3 linked regions of the Arabidopsis thaliana genome follow. The main gene of each other region encodes a partner of the protein of the gene in region 2 in a complex. Each region holds a gene or a part of one and is shown on either strand. Other genes may lie near its edges.

Evidence for each region. Proteins that work in one complex are often made in the same cells at the same time.
Region 1: PC-MYB1 (region 2) and ATE2F2 share a complex: the UniProt entries of both Arabidopsis thaliana proteins name them as parts of the DREAM-like complex.
Region 3: PC-MYB1 (region 2) and E2F1 share a complex: the UniProt entries of both Arabidopsis thaliana proteins name them as parts of the DREAM-like complex.

What each region holds. Positions count from the first base shown.
Region 1 is NC_003070.9:17,632,954-17,638,349, reverse strand, and holds ATE2F2 (winged-helix DNA-binding transcription factor family protein), read right to left. Parts: upstream 3,654-5,396; 5' UTR 3,414-3,653; coding exon 3,180-3,413; intron 2,919-3,179; coding exon 2,732-2,918; intron 2,621-2,731; coding exon 2,561-2,620; intron 2,477-2,560; coding exon 2,391-2,476; intron 2,192-2,390; coding exon 2,103-2,191; intron 2,015-2,102; coding exon 1,960-2,014; intron 1,792-1,959; coding exon 1,739-1,791; intron 1,647-1,738; coding exon 1,596-1,646; intron 1,517-1,595; coding exon 1,468-1,516; intron 1,388-1,467; coding exon 1,322-1,387; intron 1,236-1,321; coding exon 1,165-1,235; intron 1,075-1,164; coding exon 960-1,074; intron 868-959; coding exon 793-867; 3' UTR 541-792; downstream 1-540. UniProt on the Arabidopsis thaliana protein: Involved in transcriptional repression. May act by repressing E2F-regulated genes in mature differentiated cells, but is not an antagonist of E2FA.
Region 2 is NC_003075.7:15,788,532-15,796,158, reverse strand, and holds PC-MYB1 (Homeodomain-like protein), read right to left. Parts: upstream 6,027-7,627; 5' UTR 5,590-6,026; exon of another isoform or gene 5,575-5,589; intron 5,204-5,574; 5' UTR 5,121-5,203; coding exon 5,050-5,120; intron 4,914-5,049; coding exon 4,859-4,913; intron 4,635-4,858; coding exon 4,577-4,634; intron 4,411-4,576; coding exon 4,316-4,410; intron 4,216-4,315; coding exon 4,112-4,215; intron 4,016-4,111; coding exon 3,887-4,015; intron 3,726-3,886; coding exon 1,952-3,725; coding exon of another isoform or gene 1,907-1,951; intron 1,628-1,906; coding exon 1,380-1,627; intron 1,273-1,379; coding exon 1,158-1,272; intron 1,046-1,157; coding exon 827-1,045; intron 636-826; coding exon 516-635; 3' UTR 243-515; downstream 1-242. Other genes in the region: La1 (La protein 1), read right to left, coding at 6,476-6,566, 6,665-6,737, 6,833-6,980, 7,086-7,380, 7,470-7,592. UniProt on the Arabidopsis thaliana protein: Transcription factor that binds 5'-AACGG-3' motifs in gene promoters. Transcription activator involved in the regulation of cytokinesis, probably via the activation of several G2/M phase-specific genes transcription (e.g. KNOLLE).
Region 3 is NC_003076.8:7,358,773-7,365,045, reverse strand, and holds E2F1 (E2F transcription factor 1), read right to left. Parts: upstream 4,512-6,273; 5' UTR 4,298-4,511; coding exon 4,115-4,297; intron 3,645-4,114; coding exon 3,482-3,644; intron 3,351-3,481; coding exon 3,294-3,350; intron 3,213-3,293; coding exon 3,127-3,212; intron 3,048-3,126; coding exon 2,959-3,047; intron 2,865-2,958; coding exon 2,810-2,864; intron 2,352-2,809; coding exon 2,299-2,351; intron 2,225-2,298; coding exon 2,174-2,224; intron 2,097-2,173; coding exon 2,048-2,096; intron 1,961-2,047; coding exon 1,895-1,960; intron 1,815-1,894; coding exon 1,741-1,814; intron 1,656-1,740; coding exon 1,385-1,655; intron 1,255-1,384; coding exon 1,185-1,254; intron 1,069-1,184; coding exon 926-1,068; 3' UTR 541-925; downstream 1-540. Other genes in the region: OFP10 (Ovate family protein), read right to left, coding at 1-357; AT5G22210 (aspartyl/glutamyl-tRNA (Asn/Gln) amidotransferase subunit B), read right to left, coding at 5,255-5,497. UniProt on the Arabidopsis thaliana protein: Transcription activator that binds DNA cooperatively with DP proteins through the E2 recognition site, 5'-TTTC[CG]CGC-3' found in the promoter region of a number of genes whose products are involved in cell cycle regulation or in DNA replication.

The sequences.
Region 1 (5,396 bases), on a different chromosome or scaffold from region 2:
GTGGGTGAGTTTATATAGCAGAATTATATCCAACAATGTATATTAGGAAAATTATCCTCTGAAAGGCATTCCTTTTTTTTTAGGGTACGTTTTACTGTTTTAGGCAGTTACTTCTAGGCAAGAGTTATGCCATTTAACGAAAAGTATTGCTTGGGATCCAAACAAGCACCATATTTAGGGATCCACCAAGATATCAATGTCCAATGTGGTCATGATTAACTCATGAATGACATCAAACATGATATGATCTAACTCATGAATGACATCAAGCTTTGTAAAGTTGATACTTCTTTTCCACAAGATATTTTTCTCTACTAGCGTTCAAGACTTCGAGCTTTGAAACTAAATGTAACAAGATGAGAGATTAACTAGTTTTCAATTTGGAACCATTCGTTTTTTGACATGATTCTGACAGAAGTAACGTTTGATATTGTCCAAATCAGGTGGTTCGTAAATGATGCTTTGTTTCTGTTTGAACATGCAAATTGTAACCTATGGACCCAAAGTGTCAAAAAGATTAATTTCAAAGTTCATTATAAACACATGTTACAAAAACAGATGTATGCATTGACATGCAAAAGGCCATTAAGTATAATTATATATCTAATTAGAGTACAAGTTTTTTCACATAATTGCCACATCCCTTGAATGACCTTAAAATATTGCATCTTTTATTTTTATAAGGAAAAAAATCTATTAGGATTTCAGGCTCAAAAGGGGTAGTAAAATGTAACAGAAAATTCATCCTCATCCTAGTAATTGGGAATTTGAGGTTTCAAACAACTTTGTTTCTCAGCTGTTGAAGTTGCTCCATAAATCTGTGAGGCTCACCTCTGCATCTGACTCGAACCAGTAATCTGCTTTTAACTGGCAATACACAACCAAAAATTCAACTTAATCGCAACATACGAAATGCGAGACTGATCCCAAAACCCATATCAGTGGATCTAAATACTTACATCAGTATCTGAAGTTACTATTTTCAAGGAAGGAGTGTCTACTCCAACTGGAGCTTTTTGATCAGACTCATTACCCAACTTGTCGCTTGTTTCCGCACTGTCTCCTTTGTATTTGCTGCGATCATGTTTGTTCCCAGTTATTAACACTGACTGACAAATATATAGATAAGACCAGACACAGAGAGTGGAATGTGTAACTAAGTACCTTAAAAGATAGACATCAATCGGCCCCATTCTACTCCTAATCACCATCCGGTACTGTTGCGGAAAACTCATCTATCGTGAACAAAAACAGATGCTTTACTTTGTGACACATTATATTACAACTGTACAGCAAATATGAAAGCATTAAAAACGCTCACCTCATCAGGATCTGGAACTTCGATGTAACTAGCTGTAGGAGCTTTAATTGCTAGTAATGTCTGGTTCTGTATAAGGACTACCAGTTTAGTATGTTAAATAACTGAGGAAAACATAAGATGATTTTCAAGAACTAGTTGGGGAGGACCTGAAACCGTGGGAGACTCGTTATATCTTCCTCCGTCATAAACATGTACCTGTTTATTTCCATCATTGATCTTAGCAACACTCTCGTGTATATACAAAAAGATGAAACTCAAATAAACTGACGAATACCTTCTACAGTAGTCATCTTCCTCCAAGGATCTGAGAGCTTCTTGTCGTTCCCTGGAGATACATAACATGATGATCTTCAAACCATGTGGGAAAGGAACAATGGATAAGTCTCCAAACATAATATAAGAACACAAGCAACCAACCTTATAAGATCATCCAACCTGCTTTCCTCAGATTGCATACTCTCTACTTCTGACTGAAAATACGTAGATATGTAACCGGTCAGTAATGGGGAATTTGAAAATAACTGTGTGAAATAAACTATAAGACAGAAAAATAATGAAATCATGAATTTGACAGATTATTTGCATAGCAGTAAGTTCTACGACAAAGAAAACACGTGAAAATGCTTGTCACAATGAACCTTAAGCCTAGAAATTTGATCTCCCAGGTCCTTTTGTCCAAGATTGTCAGCACCCCTGCATCAATAGCGCATACACAAAGTCAGACGAACTCAAGCTATATACGCTGCAATGTATCCAAGAAAGAAAAAATTTGTGTACTTACTTCCAGCGGATATGATTCTTTGTAGTTTTCTCTATCAATCCAATTCCTTCAAGGACATTTGTAATATCATATATCCTTCTTTTTTGTACCTGTTAAGAGGGATCGCAGGAACACGTAAGCACATAAGAGGAGATCCTAACAAGCTGATGAAGATAACTAGGGAGATATCAAACAGTTAAGGCAAGGGTTATAAAGGTGAGTGATCTTTTTAGTCCACGTTCTTAATTAGATCTTCTACGAGTTGAGACATACATTTTTAACTTAAATATTAAGATACATTTAGCATACCTCCAAAACAACTGCACAATAGTTAAGGTCAAGTGTTCCATCCTCAGCTTCCTGGATCAACTTCACGAATTTTTTTGTCAACAACCCTATCAAACAAAAGAGACACCGATACAATTACAGTTGTTATCTCCATACAAACATGAACCTTAGTAAACAGAACTATTAGTTACCTAAAGAACTGTCATAACGGCAGTTAATACTAGCTCCATTTAAGCCACCATTTTGCACTTCTGCACAAAAAAACTCATTCACAACAATGCTGAATACAAACAGATTCTTATTTTCAATACATATCACATTCTAAGAGCTAGCCAAAGAGATTGATCAGAAAAAGCAGATACCGCCATTCGCCATTCGTTTCCCAGCCTTTAACAGTTTAGTACCACCCTTTGACTTGTTGTATACACGTTTAACATTTTGAGGAGACGACTCTTGTTTCACTATTACTTTAGCTATATCTATGCTTTCTCCTCCAGACATGTTGGCAATAGATCCAAGCTGAATTCGATGATTCTTTCTACTCTTCTGCTGCAAATTAAGAAAAGATCAACTCAATAGCATTACAATCACCAAAACGAATCTAAATTCGCAAATTGAGATTAGAGAATTGAAAGCTAGAGATCCAATTTTGGATTAAGTTTCCCTTAATGAAACCAAACTTCATTCAATTTTTGTTTTCGCGAAATTTGGGAATCAGAATTAAACCTAGCTATCGCAAAATCAAGTTCGGAAATGGAATCAAAATCAAAGAAGGAATCTACGAGGACTTGAGTAAACGAAGAGACTCACAACTTTCTGAGTGATTTGAGAGTAAGAATCGTCCCAGTGAGGTGAAATTAGAGGAGACAGTTGTGAATTCGGAAGCGATTGAGAGACTGAGAAAGGTCGATTCGTTGAAGAAGGAGTTAGAGAAGAGTAACGAGGATCAGAGGAAGAGATAGATTGAAGTAATTCGAAGCGAAAAGGAGATCGGTGATGGTAAGAGAGAGTCGGATCTTCGCCTGAGTTTGATGTCGCGGCCATGTAACGGCGGTGTATCTCCGGTGGTAGAGAAGATGGGATTTAGAGTGATTTTTTGAAGCGATTTTGGAGAATCGTGATTTAGGTTTTTGTGGGGGAAGATGAAGAAGGAGAAGAGGGAAGATGGAGAAAAAGATGGAGAGAGAAGAGAGGAAACAGCGGGAAGAAGAGGAAGGGTAAAAGTGTCTTTTTGTTGTATTAAAAAGATTAATATAAGAAAGAAATATTGGAATTATGTTAAAAGAGCGGTGGGCGAAAGAAGTTGGAGAGAGTTTCGAATTCTGCCTAAGCCCCGCCTAACTTCTTCCGCTTATTATTTTACTCTTTTGACTATTTGTTGGGCTTGGTCTTGGGCTTGGTCTTGGGCTTGAATTGGGCTTAATAATGTTACGACGTTTACATATCTTCTAGAGCTTCATACTTTGTAGCTTTATGTTAATGATCGACATTCATGGTTCACGAATCTATAAATACGGAGTCTCGGCATTGCTAGATTGAGTTTACAGGGGAGTCCTAATCTCCGAGGTCCATCTGCACCAATAAACTCTATGAACGGCCCAAATTTGGTCCAGTTATCATACCAAAAAGTAGTTTAGAGTTCATGGTCTTTGCCAAAAGGTAGAAATTAGAATGAATTTCTAAACCCATGATTCATTTTGTTTCTCTGGTATCATTTTTCTAGCTTTTTTTCTTTAATATTTTCATAAAAACAATTGAAGAATGAAGAGTGCTTCTGCATAGTTGAGTACTTGAGTAAGTGATATCTAATTAATATCAAATTATGTGAAAATTATACCATCTTTTATGAAGTCGTACTATATATGTATATATGTTTTTTTGTCTATCTTAATATATGTTTATGGGTCTGATTGGTAACCAAAAGTTGTTAACTCTACTACAGGTATTAAGCTGTACAATAAACTAAGAGTAAAACTTTGTAACGCTTAGTACCGTTTTGTAAAGTGGTTACCAATCAAAACCTATATTAGGTTATAAGGAAGCGATGGGTGCATTGACGACAAACACACAAACTTGGTGTATAGCGCTACACAAGGGACTGTTTTTTTTTTCATTGTATTATTACCAATTGCATCATGTAACAAAAATAGGAATTCAAAATACTGAATTAATTAATCATGATTTTGAATAAACAAAACATATTAAAGGAATGTAAATATAATTGAGTTATTTCAAAGAGTTTTCGTATCGCATAAGTTTGATACCTTAACTTGTTTTCGTAAAACTGGACAAATATGACGAGAAAAAATCCCTTCATGATATCATGATGGCTTAAATCAACGTAATTTCCATTAGTTTAGATCTGAGAGACTGAAACATTGGTGTACCAAACAATGTAAAACACACATTTTCGTCCCTATGGCATGTGACAACTTTTTAGCCAAAAAAAAGAAAGAGTATTTTATTTAGAAAAATATTTGTGAAGACATATTATCCACATTTTTAAAATTTATTGTAGCCATGGATCAGAAAAATTATATTATATTTTAGTTTAACTGTGACAAACAAACAAAACAAGATTATCCATATAAATGTAAGTTCGTCTAGATATTCATACAGAAAAAGTTTGTCTAGTTGCATTTTTGTTGTCCTAAATTTCAAGTGCACTAACGCGAAATCTACTTCACTTGTCATGGTGCAGTAAGAAAAAAACAGTAAATAAAAAATGAAAAAAATATGGAAACACTAAAAAAGAATTTACAATAGTCGATAGCATTTTTATTTGTTTACTTTGGTTCCTTTTTTCTACTTTTATACAAAAGAAAAGGTGAGGAGGAATTTATAGCCTCTAAAAGTGATCTTACAAGTTATCTAACGTTGTTTTTTTGGTAAGAAGTTATTTTTATTATAACTCCTACCATTTAGGTAATTAACTTCCTTAGGCTTAAGAGTTTTCTACAACTATTAGATTTTAACCCGTAGTACACCATGAAGATTTTTTTTTTTAAAATTAGTATATATAAAAGT
Region 2 (7,627 bases):
GTTCATGGTCGGTTTTGATCGTTTACATTGTTCATTGTAGGAATCTTGGGTTTGTAGTATAGGCCTAACAATACATTTTGATTGTACAATAACCTTTAGATCAACAGTAATAGCATCATAAAAGGATTAGTATTAACTTCCAAGTCCTATAAAAGAAGAATCTGTGTCTACACAATATCATAATACAAACTTTGCTGGTTTTTAATGGTTTTATGAATCAGTATCATACCTGAACATTGTGAAAAATTCTTAGCATTTAACAGAACAAGAAGAAAATCACTTGGTTCATCATGAGGACGAGAACTTTTGGAGTTACAAGTTAATTACTTGAGAACAAGTTACTTTTTCGCTATTTAATCAATGGTATGATGTCCAGAGTTGAGAGATCTACACATTTAAAAAAATTAGAAACAAGAAAATTGGACAAGGAGGGAATAAAAAAGACATACACATATGGGATCAAAAAATTGAAGGCGAGACTCCCTTCAGAACTCTATGAACAAAACCACCCTTCTCTATCTGCAACTCTTCAAAAGGTAAGATGATGGGCTTGAGTAGCCTCCCGGAGAAGCCGAAGGTACCTTAGCTTTCCCTGGTGTCCCACAATCGCTGAAGTCTAAGGCGCGACACTCCACCTGCATTCCACAGAGAATTGGTTCACAGTACGTCAATTTATAAACTCAAAACTGTTATTCCTTTTAATCTACCAAGTTCAAGATCCAATTTCAACATTAAGCTAGACCAGGTGTATTGATTAGAGGACTTGATCAATTTGAAACTTATTGAGAGTTTGTATGATATATAAGGTGTAAGTTGAAGCTGAAACCTGGGATCGGTTCCCAAGCTGATCATGAGGCTGGTGCTGATTTTCTTTCCCTTGAATGGACTTGTTCAGCTGTCTCTTCTTGAGTATCGATTCAGGTGTGTCATTACCCAGAACTTCCAAGGCATCTGCATATGCCGTAGCTGAGTGTTCACTCAAATGCTTCATCAGTCCTATGGCATCATAACTTCTCTCGCCGGGACTCATAAAACACCCAATATCCTGGGAAGAAAAAATGATAAACAACAAAGAAGATACGTCCATTAACAGGCGCTTCAACTTAAAACAAAAAGTAAAACATCCAGAAACTAAATTTATTCCATCTCATATTTACCTCAAATGTGATTTCTGGAGGCAACTTTGGACTTTGCAAGAAAGAACCAAAGAGTAAAGGAGATTTCCAAGGTGATGGGGTATCAAGGAGTTTTCTGAACGGAGTTCCATCAAATCTGGAAAACGAGTTGTACCAAGACAACTTAGGTTAGAACTTTCGAGCTAATATGATTCAATAGCAAAATGAGCTATCAAACACATACAGAGGAAAAGTAAAACTTACATGTTGAAGTTTTCAATATCAAAGCTGGTCTCTGCAGTGTTAGTTTTATCGATTGCAGATAAAGGAATAGAGTCCACTGTGCATAGAGGTTCTGATGACATTTCTTCTGTTGGAAAATCACCTAATGATATTTTGTGCTGGTTTGATAGATCTTTCGCACTTGCATTAACTTTGTTATCTGGTCTAGCTCGAGTCATACCAGGAGAACACAGTCGTAACTCAAAAAAACTTCCAGAAGTTTCTTGGTCCTGGTACAAGGGCAAGTAAGAGATTTAGAGATTAAAGCTTATAAGATTACGTTATGGAGATTTAGACCAACTATAAAACTATAATCCTCTACAAAGACAGCTGAAATAACTAGATGCTATCTGTTTGAGCAAATGTGATTGATACGATCTCACATGAAGAGAATTCAACATACTAGATGATGTGTTAAGCAACAAGAAGTTCACTAATAGACTCAATAACCATGTACCAGACATTGCACCTTACAGCTATAGACATCAGAGAATGAGATGACTGGGATTTTATAACTGATACCAGATAATATGCAAGGACAAAGACGGACTTACATTTTTAGCTGAAGCACCACCGTCATTACATCCATTTTCATTTTGCATAGAAGTCACTCCACCTGATTCTAAGGTTTCCTTTGGTTCCTCATCTATCGGAATCATTTCTTGATATAACCGAGCTGATGCACAATTTCTGTTATCTCTGGCTATGGAAGGGGAGGCACATATATTTTTATCTTCAGGAGACTCTGACGGACGAGAGGTCATGCAATCATCTCCTTCATCAAGCATTACATCTAAGCGCGAAAAATCATTAGCCAAGGAGGAAGTCGCAGCCCTTTTAAGCTTTTTGTCTTTTCTTCTATCAAGCACAGGTGAAAGCAAGTCTCGATGCCGCTTCTTTAAGATGGATGGTGCACCACTAAAACTTTTGGCAGTATCATTAAGCATGACATCAGGGCTCCTATCGTGACACGGTGAATCCCATAACCTTAACGGAGTTGTACAATTCATTGAAGAAATCATCAACTGACGGATACCAAAGGGACTGTACTCTTGCCGTAAGTCACTATTTGATGGTACAAGATCACAGCTGAAGAAAGGAATATCTGCACTTGGAAAACGTGGAGGTTCATAACAAAGAGCTCCTTTGTCTTTTTCAGCCGGCTTATCGTCAATAGGAAAATAAATCTTGTTCACTCTAGAAGGAGAAGAAAAACTATTCAAAGGTACTAGCTTCAAAGAATCCTTGGGAATATATGACAGCCCCTGTTGTTCTGGGAAACCACCATTATCATCATTGCCATGGGAAGTTACATGTCCGTAAGTATCGATGAAACCGTCATTTGTATCAGTCTTACATTCTAATTCGGTAGCTCCAAAAAGGCGACAACCTTGTATAGGAGCGTTGGAATCATTACGGGGTAAAAGTGAGTCCTTCAAGTCTGAATCCAACAAAGGGACACAATTATGACCCGCCAGGCCCTCAGAACTTGAAGGATGCCACGGTAAAGCTGGAACTTTTCCAGTTTCATGAGCATGGGTTTCTGCAGCCTGAGAACAAAGAGATCCTTTGCCGTTTTGAGGGTCAACCATATTCCGACCTTGCTCACCAGAAGATGTACTGCTATCTTTCATGTTATCTGGAAAAAGAACCCTACAACACTCCTCATCCGTGATCAAAGTTTGAGCTTCTGGATCTGTGTCCGAGTTTGACAAAAAAGGTTGATCACTTAATCTTACTGAACTTTGAAAATCTTGTTGAAGTGCTTGGTTTTTTCCACCGTTGTCCATGTTATGGGTCAATAACTCTAGACCACGGTCCTGTTTAGCATCATTAGATACACCCGGCAATTGATCCTCCGTAGCTGTGGTAGTTCTTAGCTCGTGAGAACAATTAAGATTCTGAAACTTCTTCGAACATTCTGTTTCACAAGAAATTTCGGGGACAACAATTTTGACATCTTTAAAGGAAGGGTAGTACGGTTCTGCATGAGATGCAGCGTTTGAGATTTGCTGCTCCGTTCCTGAATGAAATTCAGGCATGTAATATTCCTCATTTCCACGTTGAACTTCATCTTGTAAATCGTTGGTTGATTGTGAGAAAACAGTTGAAGCTTGGCTGCATTCTGATTCCTCAGCATCAACCCCTGGCCTTGAACTACCTTCATCTCCATTGCTGTGCATCCACGAGGAAGATGAAGCGATAGATTTGTTCTGAAGGGCAATTAATGGCGAGCTTTGACACTGATCTAAAAGACCTGATGCATAGTAGGAATCCAACTTCTTCTTAACTGAGCTGTTCCAATGATTTTTTATCGAATTATCTGACCTACAGGAACGTAAGAAAAAATAAGCAAATCACCAAAGCAGGAACGATAGACCACAACTACCAGCATCAAAAACCTATTATTTCATTTATGAGGCCACCAATTTTACGGACATGTTACACCTATGTTGTTATACTAGGACCCATGGAAAAGACATATTTACCTTCCTGGCAAAAATTTCATAAGCTCTGCCCATTTATTCCCATAAATTTGATGCGCACGAATAAGAGTCAGTTCCTCTTCCTGAGTCCATGCATTTTTATTAATCCCAGGGTTAAGATGGTTATGCCACCTACATCACCCACAATATTGTTTATGTGCGTTGAAGTACCACCCAATGTATGTAAATATCATTTTATCGGAAAGAAGTTGAGAGCCTTTGCATTACCTTTCCCTACATTGCTTTCCTATGCGCCCAGGTAAATGCTGAGATATAGTAGACCATTTCTTTGGCCCATATTTTTCAACCAGGTCAATTATTGTGTTATCCTCCTTCAAAACATGGAAAAGTAATGTCATGGAACACATTACAAATGCTAAGGTGTATTAGACTCAAACCGAGTAAAGCATATAAAGCAATTCACAAAATCACCTCTTTTGACCACGGTCCTTTCACAAGCTCTGGGTTCAAGACCTTTTGCCATCTATGAAGACACTGAACATCAGTCCGATCCTTAAAACATTCAGCTGAAAAGGTGAATCAAATAAAACCACATATTACTTTCACCGTACTAACTAAAGACTACAAATAAACATGGCAGCTAAAGTAGATTATTATTGATATGATCTTAACATACGCTGGAAAAACAAACTGGGAAAACAAGAAGAAATCAGAATTTGCTATTCGATTTACCTATCTTCTTCCAGTTCTTTCCTTGAAAACGCTCAACAGCTTTACACAAGACTTCGTCCTGATCCAGAAAAACAGAATTGATACAACAGAAAACTTCATAGAGACGAATTCTTCAATAGATGCAAAGGATAGCTAATGTCAACTAGTTAAATGGAACTGTGCGAAGCAACAATAGGGTGTTACAGAGACAACTGATTAAGCTCAGGCAGTGTTCCAGGATACATAATATGAAGCATGGAAGAATCAGATAGACAACAAAAAAGACACAGGAACGGAACGCACCTCTTCAGGTGTCCATTGTCCTTTGGTAGATCGTCTAGCAGGGCCAGATGTCCTCCTATGAAAATGTCACAAAGAGCTTGCATCATTATTAACCTGAGAATGTCTAGTTGAATGCAAAATTTGGTGCCAAAAGCAATCCAACTTCAACATTGAAACCCAATAGAAGAAAAGGAAGAGAGATGTAAGCGTACCCTTGTTTTCCTTTGAGGTCACCTTGGAGACTCTCTAGTGGAGTAGTAGGTGCTTTCATCTCACGCTTCATAGTTAGCAAGGAAAGCAATATGAAAAACCCCAAAGTCCGTTTCTTTGATATGTCTTAGAAATCATCATAAGCGAAGCACATTGCTGTAATTTGAAACAAAGATAAACCATAAAATTAAAAACACAGTCGGACTCAGACTAAGAATCAGCATTAGCTTCACAGCAAAAGAGCAAACTAAAGTCAAAACAAGGAAGAAGTTCACAGAATGAAGAAGGTAGCTTTAGATATTGAGATTGGATCCAAAAAAACCTAAGATAAGAAGCCCGAATTAGTTTCAGAACCCAAAACAAAAACCTCGAGAAAAAAGCTTCGAACATCATCTGAAGAAAATCGAAACTTTATACGAAAAAAAGTAAGAGAAGTTCAAAGAGTAGATTTTTGAAAAATCAGGAAGAAGTCTCCGTGAAAACTAACAAAAATGTGACCATAATAAGAGAAGGAGACGAGGTCATACGAGTAAAGCTCACACCTTGCAGATCAACGAATTCCAAAATTAATCTGAAGTAATTAAGACGCTGAGAATCCAGATGAAGAAGAAGAAGAACACAAATCGAAATCGAAGTCGAGAGAGAGAGAGAGAGAGAGAGAGAGAGAGAGAGAGAGAGAGAGAGAATGAGAGAGAGAGAGAGAGGTATTCAAAACTCAAACATGGAGAGGCGGACGGAATTCGAAGTGAGAGAGAGAGAGAGAGAGAGAGATCAAAACAAAAAGGAAAGTGATCTCAGCCGTTGATTTCAATCTCTGAATCTCGCTTTTTAGTCTCTCATATCATAAAAGTTCAATTTATTTATTTATACGTTTCTTCATTCATTTTTCTTTCGAGATTCTCTGTTGCTTCTTCTTCTAAACAACGGCAAAGCATTCTTTGTATGAAAGAAGAGTTTTTTTCTCATTAAAAAGGAAGAAGATGAAATTGCCAGTAACAGCTAATTCTAAAATCAGCATAAAAACCTAATAACAATGTAGACAAAGTCAAACGAGAAGACCAAGAAGAATACCAAAACTATTTGATTTTCAAAATTAATTTTAACTACTTCAAGTAAAATAGTGTCATCATCAGTGAGTCAATTGATACAGTTGTAGAATTTACAGGAATATACTTTTAGCAGTTAATATTAATAGTTTGTCTTTTAGAATGCTTCCTAAACATCGATTTAAAATAATTAAGGAAAGAGATGTGTGCATAAGAAGGCACATAAAGCTAAACAAAACAATACCAAATATGACTAAACCAAAATTTGCCAAATAAGCAGCTATTTCTAGTTATAACATCACGAGTCACCAGTCGATACATTAAATTTAAAGTTGCAACTAGAAATATATTGAAAAACAGAAGCAGTCACGAGCGAAATCTCTCATGCTTCCACCTTCTGAGATTTGTTCCAGCGACCACCCGGTGAATCTGATCCCCTCTTTCTCCCGAATCTCCCTCCTCTTCTTCCTCCCCTGCATAGACCAAGTATATTATTATCTGAAGAACCAAACAAAAACTTCATTTGAAACAAAATCATAACAAAGAAACCAGAACAAAAACATGAACTCACCTTCCTCCACGGCCACCCTTGTCAAACCGATCTTTGCTTCGTAGGAGAGTCCAATACTCCTTTTCAGCTTCGCCTGACAGAGAGCAATATAAACAAGTGACCATTTAACTAAAGCAGAACACAAGGTTTAGTTATAAGATAAGATTGAAGTTGAAAAGGTGTTTTTACCAATAACAGGTTCTAGGACAGCAATAAAATTCTTCACGGCTAGTCCACCTTCATTGGCTAATACTGCTGCTGCACGGGCTTTCTGGGATGCTTCAGGTTCATCAAACCTAAGATAACCCGTCTCAGATCCCATCTTGAAATCAACAAACTTCACAACAAAAAGAATAAAGGAATCAGTGAAAATGATGTCAGTTATATGAGATATTGAATCTGATTCATGTTGACAGACAGCTAAGTAAAACTCAAGTAGTACCTTGACATCACCAAATTTTCCGAAAACAGCCTTAAGATCTTCACGTAAGACAACATCCTTATTATCTTTATGGGTGGCTAGAGCACCCTTTTCTTCTTTCTCATCATCTTCATCCTCTGCTCCCTCGGCCTGAACCTCACCAGTGTTTTCTTTATCAGCATCAGGAGTATCTGCTGGCTTTGTTTCACTTTCTTCCATTGTCTTATCAGTTGGCTCCTCAGAACTTTTTTGTTCCGTGGTACCCTCTTCAGCTGAACGCTTGAGGGTGAATGAAATGATCAAACCCTTGGGATAACTACAATACGATAAAATAGCCATAATCAGATCAAGAGGATTATTAGCATGAAAAGACAAGTAATTAGATAGCAACAGTCAAACCCCTACTCTGGCTCATAAGCAGAATTGTTTTTGTGATCAGAACCATTCTTCTGATTTGCAGATCCCTTCTGAGGTTGGTAATTAGCAAATTTTACTTCATCCTTCTCCCTTTCATTATCAAACTCTTTCCTGAAAAGAATATATCACCTTTTAAGTAACCCATC
Region 3 (6,273 bases), on a different chromosome or scaffold from region 2:
GATCATCTGATTCATCGACTTCTTGTAATCTTCGAACGGATTGATTGATTCTTTAGCCATCGCGACGCTCTCATCGATCTTAGGACATGGGCTGCGTAAAACCGTGGGAGAAACCGGTGGTCCCGGGGTGTAGTGGCTGTGAGAGGAAGGTGGAACGGTAGAGCCGCAACCGCATGCCATAAAAATGGGTTTGAATATGGTTTTGAGTATATACTTCATCATCTTCTTGAAAGACATTTTTTTTTTTACTAGAGGAAGAGAAAACAAGTTGAGATTATTGAGTGAGGATGTTGGTGTGGGAAAGTTTGTTAAAAGAGGAACCTTTTTTTCATTTAACTTAGCTTGGAGATTCAGCATTGCTCATTGCTTTGGAGATGCACAATTTTGATGGATTTCTTTTTTAAGGAAAATAATACCATCTTGAGGTGAATTCAAAGTTATATATGATATCATTTGTAAGAAACTATCTCGAGTGATATCAAAGGATTGGACATAGAAACCGATTTGAACCAAAAAGAAATCTCTCAAACCACAACCGAACCAATATGTTTTCGTCAAGATTTTTGATGAACGGAAATATGTTTTAGTTTCGATCTGGTTACCTTTTTGGTAAACCGGAAATGGAGCATGTAAAACTACTAAGCACCCGTCTACAACTCTAAAAGGTTTTGCAGTTTCACATGAACAAGACCAATATTAAGAAATCAATGGGCTAAGGCTAATTCTATATTAAGCCTGAGAAGCTAACAAAGAAAAAAAATGAAGAATACAACGAAGGGGTTGGTTTCTCTACTTTTATTTTGCAATCTCTATTCTATGATAATGCAATGCAGCTACTGTACAAGTACAACATTAACTCTGGTTTCACCGAAATCAGATTCTATGTACAGATATATGGTGGTGCTTGTAATGTGGTATGGTAACTTCAGCTACCTGTAGGTGATCTCGTAGCAGTGGATTCTTCTGGTGTTGGGCTCGATGGAGTTTGTGGCTGCTCCAAGATTTTGTTGTCGCTCGGTCCAGCGTGGTCTTGATCAAATGTAATCATCTGGTTCCAGTCTGGTCCAGCTAATGATGAAAGAGTCAAGGAGCTCTAAACAGATATCATATTTGGGGAGGAAAAAACTCAAAAGCTCAAAGAGAGATTAGATTAAATCACAGAAAGTGATAGAAATCAAGGATACATTCATCTGGCCACATGTCTGTGATGCTGACTTCGCCTACCTCTGATCGAAACCAGTAATCTACACCCATCTGTATATAATGTAACATACAGGTAAATATGAATTAAGTCAAGCATGATTTTTTAGATATGGTTACTTTTCCAGACTGTGATTATGTACATTGGTGAAAATTTTAAGCTGAGGAAGCAGTTGGGACTTACATCCAAATCTGGAGGAACAATCTTCATGATACCATCGACAAAGTCATGAGATTCGATGTCAGAGTAAACTCTTTGCGTATCATCAACTTCCTGTGTTTCCATGTTTCTTTCGGTGCTTTCCTCTTTCATCGGCATAGATACATCATGGTTCTCAGGGAGACCAGATGTTGATGGAAGATTTGAAGGTACATCAGGGACATTAGAGGGTTCATCAGGAACATTTGAAGGTTCATCAGCCTGAGGAATGTCCTCAAAGCTCTCTTCGAATTGACTAAAAAAGCACAATATAAATGTCAGTCTCACTTCCATGTTACAGATTTATCCAGGGCAAGCATAACGTTTGAGGACAGTGTTACCTGACTAGGTACACGTCTATTGGTCCCATTGTGCTTCTCAGAATGATTCTGTACCTCCTCTGATAACCACCAGCCTGATTAATGGCAGGATAAGAGGTGAGAATCGTTACAGACAGTGCATCGCTCATTTGGTTTTGTGCGCTCTTAAGCTTACCTCATCAGGATCTGGAACCTCAAGAGTTGTTCCATGCGGTGCCTTTACAGCTATCAGCGTCTTATTCTAAAATAGGCACCACAAAAACATGTTTCCCCAGTGAGAAGAATGCAAGGCAAAGAGAAACACGTAATTACTAGAAGGAGACCAGACCTGGAAGCATGGTAGGTTCTTAATGTCGTTTTCAGTGACGAACAGTAACCTAAAAAGTGGAGCGTCAGAACAAACAGATATGTTTTATTGTACCTTTCGGCAGAAGAAATAGCAGGGGACGCTTACCTTTTGTTGTTTTCATCCTCACTCAAGCTTGTTAATCTTTCTTGTGATTCTCTGCAACCAGGTCGACTCTCAAAAAGATGATACAAAACAGCAGAAAAGGGAAGGAAAATTATCTGCGAAAATACCTGATTTGGTCATCTAATCTTGCCTCCTCAGCTGCGAGGTTTTGTACTTCATCCTGTAAGATTGGTAACAGGAATTATAAAACATGAATAGTTTTTCGAACCAAAAACCCAAAACAAGAAATCAATGCAAGTGACTGAGATCGAAGAAAAACTGCAGTACCAATTTCCACTTATTCAACAGGTTCAAACATAAAACAGAAACTCATCATTCAAAGGTGCCAGTACGGGTATACAAAACAGAGCTTGTGGTTACATGTCATCGATGTTTGTGTGTATGGTAAATTTACTAGTATCCTAGTTACCTCCTAACACATTTAGCTCTCAGAAAACAGGCATAACAAGAATCATACTAATGCAGATTCATACGATGTTCAAGAAGACAATGCAAGCTAAGATATACCCTTAACGTGAAAACAATAATAAAACTGGTGATAATACTGAGCATTGCATAACAGAGTTCGCAGTGAAATGTGCAATGAAAAGGTAAAGAATATATAGGCATGTTCTGTACCTGTAGGTTAGCTATGCTTTCGATTGTTTCTCCTGGTTTTGAGACATCGAGACCCCTAAGACAGACAAGAAAATTCAGAGTACTGTCGCTCACACATGAGTCATCAAATGGAAGGAATCCAAGATTTGACAGTTCTAAGACATGCTTACTTCCACTGAATCCTGTTCTTAAGCGTCTTCTCTATCAAACCTATTCCTTCTAACACATTGGTTATATCATATATCCTTCTCTTTTGTACCTGCATCAACAGGAACATACAGCTAAGTTTGACAGAAAGTAATACATCAATATGGGAGTCTAGAGTTCAAATATGTCACCTCTAAAGTATCAGCTGCTTTGTTTAGATCAAGAATACCATCCTCTGCTTGTTTTATCAAATTGATAAATTTCTTTGTCAAAAGACCTGAAGCAGATTAAATCATTAAAAAAACTTATTATCCAAAAGTACATTTTTTAAACATTAGTTAATGAAATAAGTTATTACCTAACGAACTATCATATCGACAAGTACCGGCCTGTGCAAAGTTATTTCCAGGAGAACCTGCCAACACAAAAGATCCTTCTCACTACATTGCAATATCTCCACTCTTTAAAGAAGATTTAGCTCAGATGAGCACATAAGAAATATTTCTCATTGGCATACTAACACAGAGCATTTAGAACCAAACTCACCTGCATTAGAGCCAGAAGCTAGCGTTCCAGACTTATTAGACTTCGCAGACCTAGAAGTTTTCTTGGCTTTCCCCCCTTTCCCTGATACAGGTGTTTGAAGAACACCGGTATTCAATTCATTGACCTCAACTATTTGGTTTACCAAATCTGTCTTACGCTTCAGCTGCCAATAAAGTCACCAAAATTGAACAGTTAAATACATCAACGAATTGAACAGAATCAAATCCTATCAGCATCATACTGTCACTATGCTGAAATCTAAAAGCATAGACACAACTTTTACCAATTCCAACATAGCAAAATTCAGAAACTAATTTAACTAAACATAAACACAAAAGTGCATGAATCTGCTCTAAATAGCAATAACAGTAACACCACAAACCCTAAGTCCAGCAACTAAACTACTCAATAAGTACTTGCAATGCTAATTCCAATACTACAAACAAGGTTAATCAAAAGAGACCAAACGCAATTAACACCAACAGAAGCAGATCCCGACACAATTCTCATCAAAATCTAAAGCAACGACATCATCAAAATCATAATCAATAAAACCAAACCTCACACACAATCGAAAACACGAGAATTATAAAGCAAAATTCACAAGCAAAATTGAGAAGAAAAAAGACTTACAGTAGATTTGATCACAATCGCGTCAGAGACAACCTGATCAGCAACAGCTCCACCACCGCGAGTCTCCGCCGCATCAAACCGGTGATACTCACCAGGAGCAACTAGAGGAGGCTTCATAGAAGAAAGAGAAGGATGAAGCTGCCGCTTAGAAGATGGGAATTGTTGAGGTACTTCTTCAGACATAAGAACGAATCTCGATAAAAAATCCCCCAAAAAAAAAAAGAAACGGCGAAAATTGTCACGGAAACTCGGATCTCCGGTAAGCAGAGATCCCAATAACGATTAAGAAGCAGATCTACGGCGGGAATTACGGAGATTCCGGGAAGAGAATGTGAAGAGATCGGCGAATCGAAAAAAAGCGGGAGAGGAGAAGAAGATGAAGAAGAGGAAGGATTATAAAAAAAAAAAAAAAAAGAGACGGTGGAAGAGGAAGAGAGAAAACGAGGGAATGAGTTGCGTTTGGTTCTGAATACTGATGTGGAGGGAATTAGCGCTCTTTATCTCTCTCTTTGTACACAAATCTTTTTACCAATATCTCTCTACTAAATAATAATAATCCTATTTTTATATATAATACAAAATTATAAAATTTTAAGTAAGTTTTTTTTTTTTTAAAGTCAACGAAGTTAATAAAGCTATGTAACTAATTTGGATACAGTTTTATTTCCTTGAGATTGAGGGGAAAAAAATGAATTTTGGATTTATTCATGTTAAGAAGTGGAGCATAATAATTTCATCAAACTGTTGCAGCATCCGTTACACGCGTTAAGTGTGAGCAATTATCGTCAAAATCTGTCGAACTTATACGTTTTTTTGTTTTTAATTCATAGGTGAGGCAAAACTATATTGATGAAAATTATGCTCATGAGTGTCTCATCATTTAACAACTTTTTTAAATGGAACCTCGAAACATAGGGATTCCAAATCATAGCACCAAGACAATAGAAACATGTGTCGTCTGAATGCAGACACTTGGATCTCTTATGAATGCTATACTGTTTAGAGAAGATAATATATATTTATAGACTGAGCTTCCAAAACACAAGCTTTAAGTATGACTGTATGAGTAATCAAAAAAGATACTAAGACTTTGAAAGCTTCATACATAACAAACAGAGACAACAATAGAAGAACCCCTTTTTACTTGAACAAATGGGCAAGATCAGGGTCATCTAAATCTACATCAAGCGATCCATTTAACCGCATAAACTCGATGTAGCTATCTGGAGGAGTGATCGCACGAGTGTTGTTCTTCGGTTTGAATCCATGAACTCTCTGGAGATCTCTTGCGAGCCAACGCAGAAAAACTTTGTCCAATGGAGGTACAATCTTCAAATGGATCTCTTCGCGTTCTTCTTTCACCGTTGTAGCTTTGTTTCCCATCTTGCAAAACCCGATCTTTACATACATCATATATAGTATCGTCACATTGTCCAAACCACAAAAACAAGTTATCTAGTCAACAAGATGATTATGCAACACTTTTAGCAGATGCATTTTGGGATTAACACTTAACACAATCTATAATTTCTCCATGCACACCAATATTGCAAGTGTGTAACATTTACATGTTCGGATGCAAATTATCTCGTGAATAACACAATCGTCAATTCGTCATAACCATCTAAAAGGAGAGACTAAAAAGTTCTATAGAAGCTATACACTAACCTTAAGGACCATCAAAACCTTAATTAAGAGACCAAACTATTATACATCAACCAAGTAATCATCTCAGCGTCCATTTTTAAAGCTATCTTTGTTCCACTATGTCCAAGAATCATAAGATCCTCGAGCAAATAAATTGTACAAGATGAGACATCTATGAACCACCAATTCAAGGTCAATTCTTCAAGATGATTAACATGATAATATCAATTAGAAATCAACTCATTCATGAATACTAAGTCTACATTTAAAACCCCTAAATCAATGAGAAAACTGGAGAAATTACTTCAAATTTCTATCATCACTATATACCCAAAAAATCAGGTAAAATCCTAGCCAGCAAATTAAGCTTAGCGATATGATATAGATTCAAGAGATTTTACCTTTTTCAATCAGAGAGACAAAACATCAGAAACCGAAAGTGAGTCGAAGAATTTCTGACCAGACAGACACTATAGAGCGTTTTGCAGAGCTAAACCAATGTCGTATCGCTA